Rattus norvegicus: one gene and its partner. The protein of the gene in region 1 interacts with the protein of each later gene in a pairwise test. Links are inferred from orthologs where the notes say so. Each region holds a gene or a part of one and is shown on either strand. Other genes may lie near its edges.

The links. The genes of interacting proteins can lie anywhere in the genome.
Region 2: the proteins of Nipbl (region 1) and Mau2 interact in binary tests that used the Homo sapiens proteins (3 or more experiments, as listed by UniProt). The link is inferred for Rattus norvegicus from reciprocal best matches to the Homo sapiens genes NIPBL and MAU2.

Annotation. Positions count from the first base shown.
Region 1 is NC_086020.1:59,157,201-59,160,849, forward strand, and holds part of Nipbl (nipped-B-like protein), read right to left. Parts: intron 3,336-3,649; coding exon 3,201-3,335; intron 582-3,200; coding exon 483-581; intron 1-482. UniProt on the Homo sapiens protein: Plays an important role in the loading of the cohesin complex on to DNA. Forms a heterodimeric complex (also known as cohesin loading complex) with MAU2/SCC4 which mediates the loading of the cohesin complex onto chromatin.
Region 2 is NC_086034.1:19,438,278-19,441,926, forward strand, and holds part of Mau2 (MAU2 chromatid cohesion factor homolog), read left to right. Parts: intron 1-166; coding exon 167-253; exon of another isoform or gene 254-306; intron 307-1,232; coding exon 1,233-1,282; intron 1,283-1,469; coding exon 1,470-1,547; intron 1,548-1,656; coding exon 1,657-1,768; intron 1,769-3,533; coding exon 3,534-3,624; intron 3,625-3,649. UniProt on the Homo sapiens protein: Plays an important role in the loading of the cohesin complex on to DNA. Forms a heterodimeric complex (also known as cohesin loading complex) with NIPBL/SCC2 which mediates the loading of the cohesin complex onto chromatin.

The DNA.
Region 1 (3,649 bases):
ACTGATACAGTACCAAATTATAGAAACAATAACATGACATTTTCTATTAGAAAAATCTGTAAGGTTTCAAACAATGAAAAAAATGTTTTGTCTCTTCACCCTCTAGATCGAAGATTTATTGGTACTGTGAAAATGGAGAACCATGCAACTAAGTATATATAAAAACTGCTAATATTCAACAAATAGGAAGCATTCTGGATCAGCAAATTATAGCTTATTTATGTATAATTAAAAAAATGATTCTCTTGTTTTTCTTTTCTGTTTTCAATTATGAAAGAATAGGAAAACAACAATATTAATACTTATTTATAGACATGAGTATCAAGAAATTAGCCATGTGAACCATTCCCCTTTTACTTGAGCCCCAGAAGTCCCAGAAATACAAGGGAAGCAGTACTGAGTGGCAGGCTCAGCACGTCACCATGGCAACGCATCAGCTGCCTTGCATTCACAGTGACCACACCCTTGTCCGACCTTCTTACCACATCAGTGATGTTTAAAATTTTCCTTGTCATTGCTTCTTTGTCATTATGTGGAGTTGGAGTAAACCAGAGCTTCTGGAATGTTTCATTTACTAATTTCTAGAAGAAGACAAAGAAACCCAATCAATTACTAACAAAGATCGCAAACTTTTAATTAATTGTAAATTCCCATTAAAGCCCAACACAAAGCTAGTTATTAAAAAAGAAAAGTTTAAGTTAATTAAAAATTTTCTTGTGATTAAAACAACAGATTTCACTAATTATAAATTCTGTCTAATGGGTTGAGATTTCAAATAGAGGATGAGTAAAACTATGTTTAGCCTATAGCTTATGCAGAAAATACTTTTAAAATAAAAAATGTGTCTGTTGTGTGCATGTGTTATGTGCGTCACCTGTGTGCAGTGCCTGCAGGAGCCAGAGGAGGCGCTGGATCCGTTAGGGCTGGAGTGAGTGCAGGTGGTTGTGAGCCACCTGTGTGGGCGCTGGAATCTGAACCTGGGTTCTCTCTCTGCAAGACCAGCAAGCACAGCCCCTGACTTGTTTTTGATCAGACTAAAACCACTGTTACGGCTGTGTGCGCACGCGCATGCGCGCATCCGTGAATGCACATAAGAGACAACAGGATATCCAGGTGTCAACCTCTATCACTTTCCACCTAGCTGTCTTGAGACAGGATCTCCCACTCAACTGGAAGCTTGCGGTTTTGGTAGGGTTGGCTAGCCAGAGAGGCCTTTGAAATCTGCCTGCCCCCACCTGCCCAATGCTAGAGGTAAGGCACATGCAGCCGCATCCAGCTTTTTATGTGGATGCTGGAGATATGAACTCAGGTTTTCATGCTTGTAAAAAATTGCTCCTACCCACTATCTACATAGCTCCCTTTTATTCCTTTAAAGGGAGGAACTTGTGTGGGATCAACTTAACAGAAGCTAAAGTTATTTGAGCAGAGAAAACTCAATTAAAATCAGTTCTGGGTTCTCTAAGAAAGCAGACTGGGCAAGCCAGATGGAGCAAGCCAGTAAGCAGTACCAGTAAGCATTAGCTGCCGCCGCCTCTAGGTTCCTGCCCTGCTTGGGTTCCTGTCCTGATTTCTTCCAATGCTGAACAGTGAGGCGAACGGTAAGCCAAACAAACTCTCTTCACTGCAAAGTTCCTTTGCTCATGGTATTTTTTCATGGCAATAGCAACCCTAATTATGACAGAAATTGGTACCAGCAGAGTGGGTCACTGTTGTCATAGATCTGACCATGTTCTTTGTGGGAAGATTGTGGAAGGACTGTAGAACTTTGGGCAAGAAAAACCATTGGTGAGCTGTTCTATGGGAGCTTGGTAGAATGTTGGGAGCAATGCAGAAAAAGGAGGCCTGACTTGTGAAATTTCAAAAGGAATTTGAGGGTTTCTTAATGACTCTATCAGAGATGCTTGCTATTTTGAGCTAAGAATTTGTGGTTCTGGTTAGCTAGGGCTGGAGAATACGCTGTGAGTAACAAAACATAAGAAACACTAACGAAAAACTGCTTTACTGTGACAACTGATGTTGGTCACTTGGAGCTGACAAACTGGTGGTTAATAAGCAGAGGCCAGCACCACTCAGGTGAAATCTTTTGCTAAGTGTTTGCTCAGAGTCAGCATAAAGAAGCTGTATTCAGAGGTAGCCAAGGTTGTAACTTTGTGCTAGCACCCAAACTTGGTCATGTCTCCCAGGTGGTACTTGTTTTGAAGGCAAAAAGGGGTCATGGAGAGCAGCTGAGGTTTGGCACTACAGGAAGCCAAGGGAGGCCACTTGTGAAGGTGTAGCCAGAGTAGCAGTGGAAGCCCCAGGACTGAAGGGATCATGGAGAGAAGCTGAGGCTTTGCATCATGGAGAGAGCCTATTGGTGAAAGTGAGCCCAGGTGCAATAGAAGATGCCTGCATTTTGAAGATGCCAACACCACGGGAGGACTGTCAGAAACAGCAGCAGCTGTGTGTGGAGTGGACCCAGCCTGAGTCAAGAACACAAGCTGTGTGGTTCCCAGACTGTGGAACCTGAGAAGTGACCCAGGCCCTTTGGAGGAGTCTGGAAGATTGTGAGTCCTAAATACCAGACATTGAGTGATTACACTGTTGGAATATGGTTTTACATTTATCTGATTGTCACTGTGTCCTCATTTTTTCCTCTCGAAATAGAAGTCTTTAACTTAATTTTGATTTTATAGTAGCCCATACTTGAGAGACTTTCTACTTTAAAAGACTTTAACATGTTTGAATTTGTAATACCGTGGGACTTTTAAGTTTGTAAAATGTTTCCTATTATGATGTTTATATTAATGTTAGATCTTGAGGATGAACAAGAAAAGTTGTGACTTTGTAGTGATTTGTTTGTGTGTCAAGCTGACAAGGGGTCAGTTATACAGGACAATTTTATGTCAACCAGAACCAGCTAAGGTCATCTGAGAGAAGGGAACTTCAAATGAGAAAATGCCCTACAGGCTGTAGGCAAGTCTGTAACTGAAAATCAAGAACATTCTATTTAAAAATCAAGATAATTTCAATCTGGTAATAATTTTGGATAAAATACAGTCACTACAGTTAAATAAGTATTGTAATGGTTGAATATGTTGGAAAAGACCACATTTTAGTAATATAAAATTTAGAAACAAAATAAAAAAGATTCGATAAACACCTAAATAATTTTAACAGTAATAAAAAAGAAATCCCATATGATCAGAGTTTCATCTTACCTTAATGCCCTCTTCATCATTGACTCTCCGAATCATCTTTACACACATTTCTGTAATTTTTGGAAATGTTGGTTGTTCAATACAGATGTCTCTTAAAATCTTTATTACTCTTTTCCTGACACTGATACCAGTATCCTAAGAACAAAATGCATTTTCAAATGTTAGGAGTGCGAAATTTGACAAAATAGTGTTAACAATGTTTCCCAAGCATTATCCCCCCTATCTGTTAGTGAAACTGTGATGTAACCTATAAAAACCCTATAACCTGTGGACCTACACTTAGTAATGAGTGTGAGACCACAGGGTAAGTTTGCTGCAGTAACCGGGGTGGTAAACTTTTAGAACCGTGTCTGGTACTTCAAGGCATACGAAGCAGCATCTGTGATGTAGAGAACAAGTGCTTACGCTAAGTCAAGTAAACCTTTTACAAACTACTCCTGTACCACACT
Region 2 (3,649 bases), on another chromosome or scaffold:
TTGCCACTGCAGTGGAGGAGGGGGAGGGGCTAACTCCTTCGTGCTTGGGTTTGGAATGAGCTGACTGAGTCTGAAAGGAGCCCTTGTGCAATTCTGGGTCCAGTCAGGCCTCGACGGTGTAACCGTGGCCAGGCTGGGCTCCTAAATGCCCCATCTTTCATTCCAGCTCACCAACCACCAGGAGTTGTGGGCCTTCATCGTGACTAACCTTGCGAGTGTGTATATACGGGAAGGAAATAGACACCAAGAGGTAGTAGGTGACATGCTTCATGTTCGGTATCCTCCTCCATCTCCTGTGCGGGGGCTGTGGGTGTCCTAGGCACCCACAGACCTTAGAAAAGCCCAGATGTTTAGTGTTCTATGAGGGTTAGGACTGGGACAGCACTCCTGCAGCCATGTGGCTTTTGTCCCATCCTAAGCCACTCAACCTTTATTGACCCCACATTGTACCTAAAACAAACAAAAAATGTCGTAAGGTTGTCATGGTGCATGTCTTTAATCCAAGCACTCAGGAGGCAGAGGCAGGTGGATCTCTGGGTTCAAGACCATCCTGGTCCACAGAGCAAGTTCCAGAATGGTGAGGGCTATACAGAAACTCTGTCTCAAAAAAAAAAAAAAAAAAAGGACAGAAAAAATTGAGGAGTTTGCATCCAACTGGGGCTCTTGCTTGCTGCCAAGCGGTCTGCCACAGAGCCATACCTCAGCTCCAAATCAGATAGAAGAAAGTCTTGTGTGGGTAGGTTGGTCATCCTCACAGGGCTGACCAGATAAGCCAAGTGCTTTTACCTGGACTTTCTAGCCAAAGCCACAAGAATTAGGTTCTTCTCTGACCCTAGGATATCCCACCCTAAGTCCCTCCAGAGTGGCCCATATTCTCTGACCTCTGCAGCCTTCATTCTAACCATGGCCAATGTCCTCTCTCGTCTGTACAAACCGTGGCCAACTTTCCACATCTGGGCTGAGAGAAGCAGGAAGCCCAACCTCTGTCAACCTGGCTGTTAGGGAGCTGAAGCAGGATTCTTGGTTCATAAGGATAGTGTGTGTCCCAGTGTCCCCACTCTGCTCCTGTCTCCTACATAGTTCCCTCAGACACTCGGTCTTGAAGCTGTTCAGGGCAGGCATGCTGCACGTTATGATAGTCTTCCCGTGGAGTGGAAGAAGCCCTGTCCCCTGTAGCATGTTCAGGGCCTGGCCTCCTCTAGGTAGAGTCCTGACTGATGTTTCTCCACCAGCTGTACAGTTTGCTTGAGAGGATAAACCCAGACCACAGCTTCCCGGTCAGGTGAGCCTGCCTGTGTTCAGCACACACATTCTACTCCCTCATTGCTCTTGGGGTGGTGTATGTGCTTGCGGGCCCCAGACCTCACACATACTCAACACTGCTTGCATCCTAGCCTTTAGACAGTCTTCAGGGGCTGCCTTTGGGAAACTTTTCTCCCGTACCCAACTGAGACTCTGCTTCCTCGCAGCTCACACTGCCTCCGAGCAGCAGCCTTCTATGTACGAGGACTCTTCTCCTTCTTCCAGGGCCGCTACAACGAAGCCAAGTAAGTTTTGATCAGGGCACCATGTTTGATGGCCTCTCCTTCCTCAGTCTACCTCTGCTTCTCTAGGACTAATATGTCTGCGGGTATCAGCATCTGTCTCCTCTTACAGGAGATTTCTTCGAGAAACTCTAAAGATGTCGAATGCAGAGGACCTGAACCGCCTTACTGCCTGCTCCCTTGTGCTGCTGGGTCACATCTTCTATGTGCTGGGAAATCACAGGGTGAGTCCCTACCTAGCCGGTGCACAGGCTGGAGACCTAAGGAACACCACCACGGAAGGTGGCATTTCCTGTCCTGGAATCCAGGGTGTTAAAGGCACGAGGTCCTGGGGTTCCCCTCCTGGACATAGATGTCAGCCTCACAAGCCTCAGAACTAAGAGACAGCTGCCATGTTCCTGTAGGCTTCTCAACATACCATCCCTTGGGAATCCATGGCCCCATGAGACTGTCTCAGAACCTTAGACTAACAATGTCAAACCTTCCTGTGTCTGTGGCACCATCAACCATGTGGCTTCACAAGACTTCTTTACTTCAAATTATTGTCAAATGTATTGAGGGTAGCTTGGCTGTAGAGAGCAGGGAGTGACCTTTAGTATCCCCACTGCTGTGGCTTGCTGCTGGGGCATCTGCTTGGGCATTGGACAAGCCTGTTTACCCTGGGGCCTCTGGTGTGGTGTACTTCAGAGCACTTAGAGTAGCCGTGTGGGCCAGAAGTCTGCTTGTCTAACAGTGTTTCCCACTCCACGGCTTTCTGTAAAACACTCCCTTTGCCTGTATGAGCCTGGCTGGGGAGATAGCTGTGAGGTCAGGGCAGCCAAAGCGAGCCTGGTGGTTGAGCAGCAGGGACAGTTTGCTGAGCCAGGCCCTCGTGGGTACAATTATTGCAGCAGCCAGAGCCAGGTGGCCAGCAGAGATCTGACTCGTGAGGATCAGACCCTGTCCAGGCAGCTATAGAGCCAGCCCATACTTCTAGCCCCTCCTTGGGTCTGGAGGAGGGGGCAGCTCTTCTTGCCCACCGTGTCTGAAGTCTGAGAGGGACCCTACTCGGTTTGGTTGTAGCTGGTGGAGGTTAAGGTCTGAGTAACCCAGCTAAGCTGCATTTGGTCAGGTTGTTTTTCCATTAACCTGTGCCTAGAACTGGAATCTGGTTTGAGGCTTTTAAATTTTTGTTTTTGTTCATTTCTCCATTTGCTTATTTTATGTATGTGAATGTTTGGCTTGTGTGTATGATAAGCACCATGTGTGTGCCTGGTGTCCACAGAGGTCAGAGGCGGGGGTCAGATCAGATTCTCTGGTACAGGAATTAGACAATTGTGAGCTGTCATGTGGGTACTAAGAGCTGCACCTGAGTACTCTGCAAGAGCAGTGAGTACTCTCCACCTCTGTCACAGAAAGGACCCCAACCTGGGCCTGCAGTCTGGGAAGGTAGAACAGTTCAGCGGGGCCTGGTTTGGACTCAGAACTACCTAGGGTTCCTCAGTGTGAGGTCAGAAACAGAACACTGCACTCCAGGTCTCCCCTAGCCTCATCATGAGAACACTGGGCTTCTAGATCAGCAGCTCTGCACACACAGAGGGAGTCACAGGCCTAGAGACCCCATATCCCCACAGTAGCCTACAAAAGCCAGCTCAAAGGAGCAAATCTTCTGCACTCAGTCCTTTAGCTCCCTTCTCTTGAAGCCTAGGTTGGGACACCCGCATGAATGTATAGTTTATTAATCATTTCTAATTGTGGGGCCACAGCCCTCTTTTTCTCTAGCTGGCAAGAGGCATGTATGGCTCATTCATTGCCTCGTGTGCAAAGGGGAGCAAGAATGCTCAGTTTGTTTTTTCCAAGGTGAACAAGAGTACCTTAGAGGGCCGTTTTGGGTAGGCTCTGAGGGTGCAGTTCATGTTTGTCCAGGAGCAACAGAACATAAAATGGGCAGATGGAGTCAAAGATACTCTTCCATGACCTCACTGTTAATTCTTAGCTTTTGATTGGCAGGAGAGTAACAACATGGTGGTACCTGCCATGCAGCTGGCCAGCAAGATCCCAGACATGTCTGTGCAGCTGTGGTCATCTGCCCTCCTGAGAGGTGAGAGTGAACAAGGCTTCCAGGC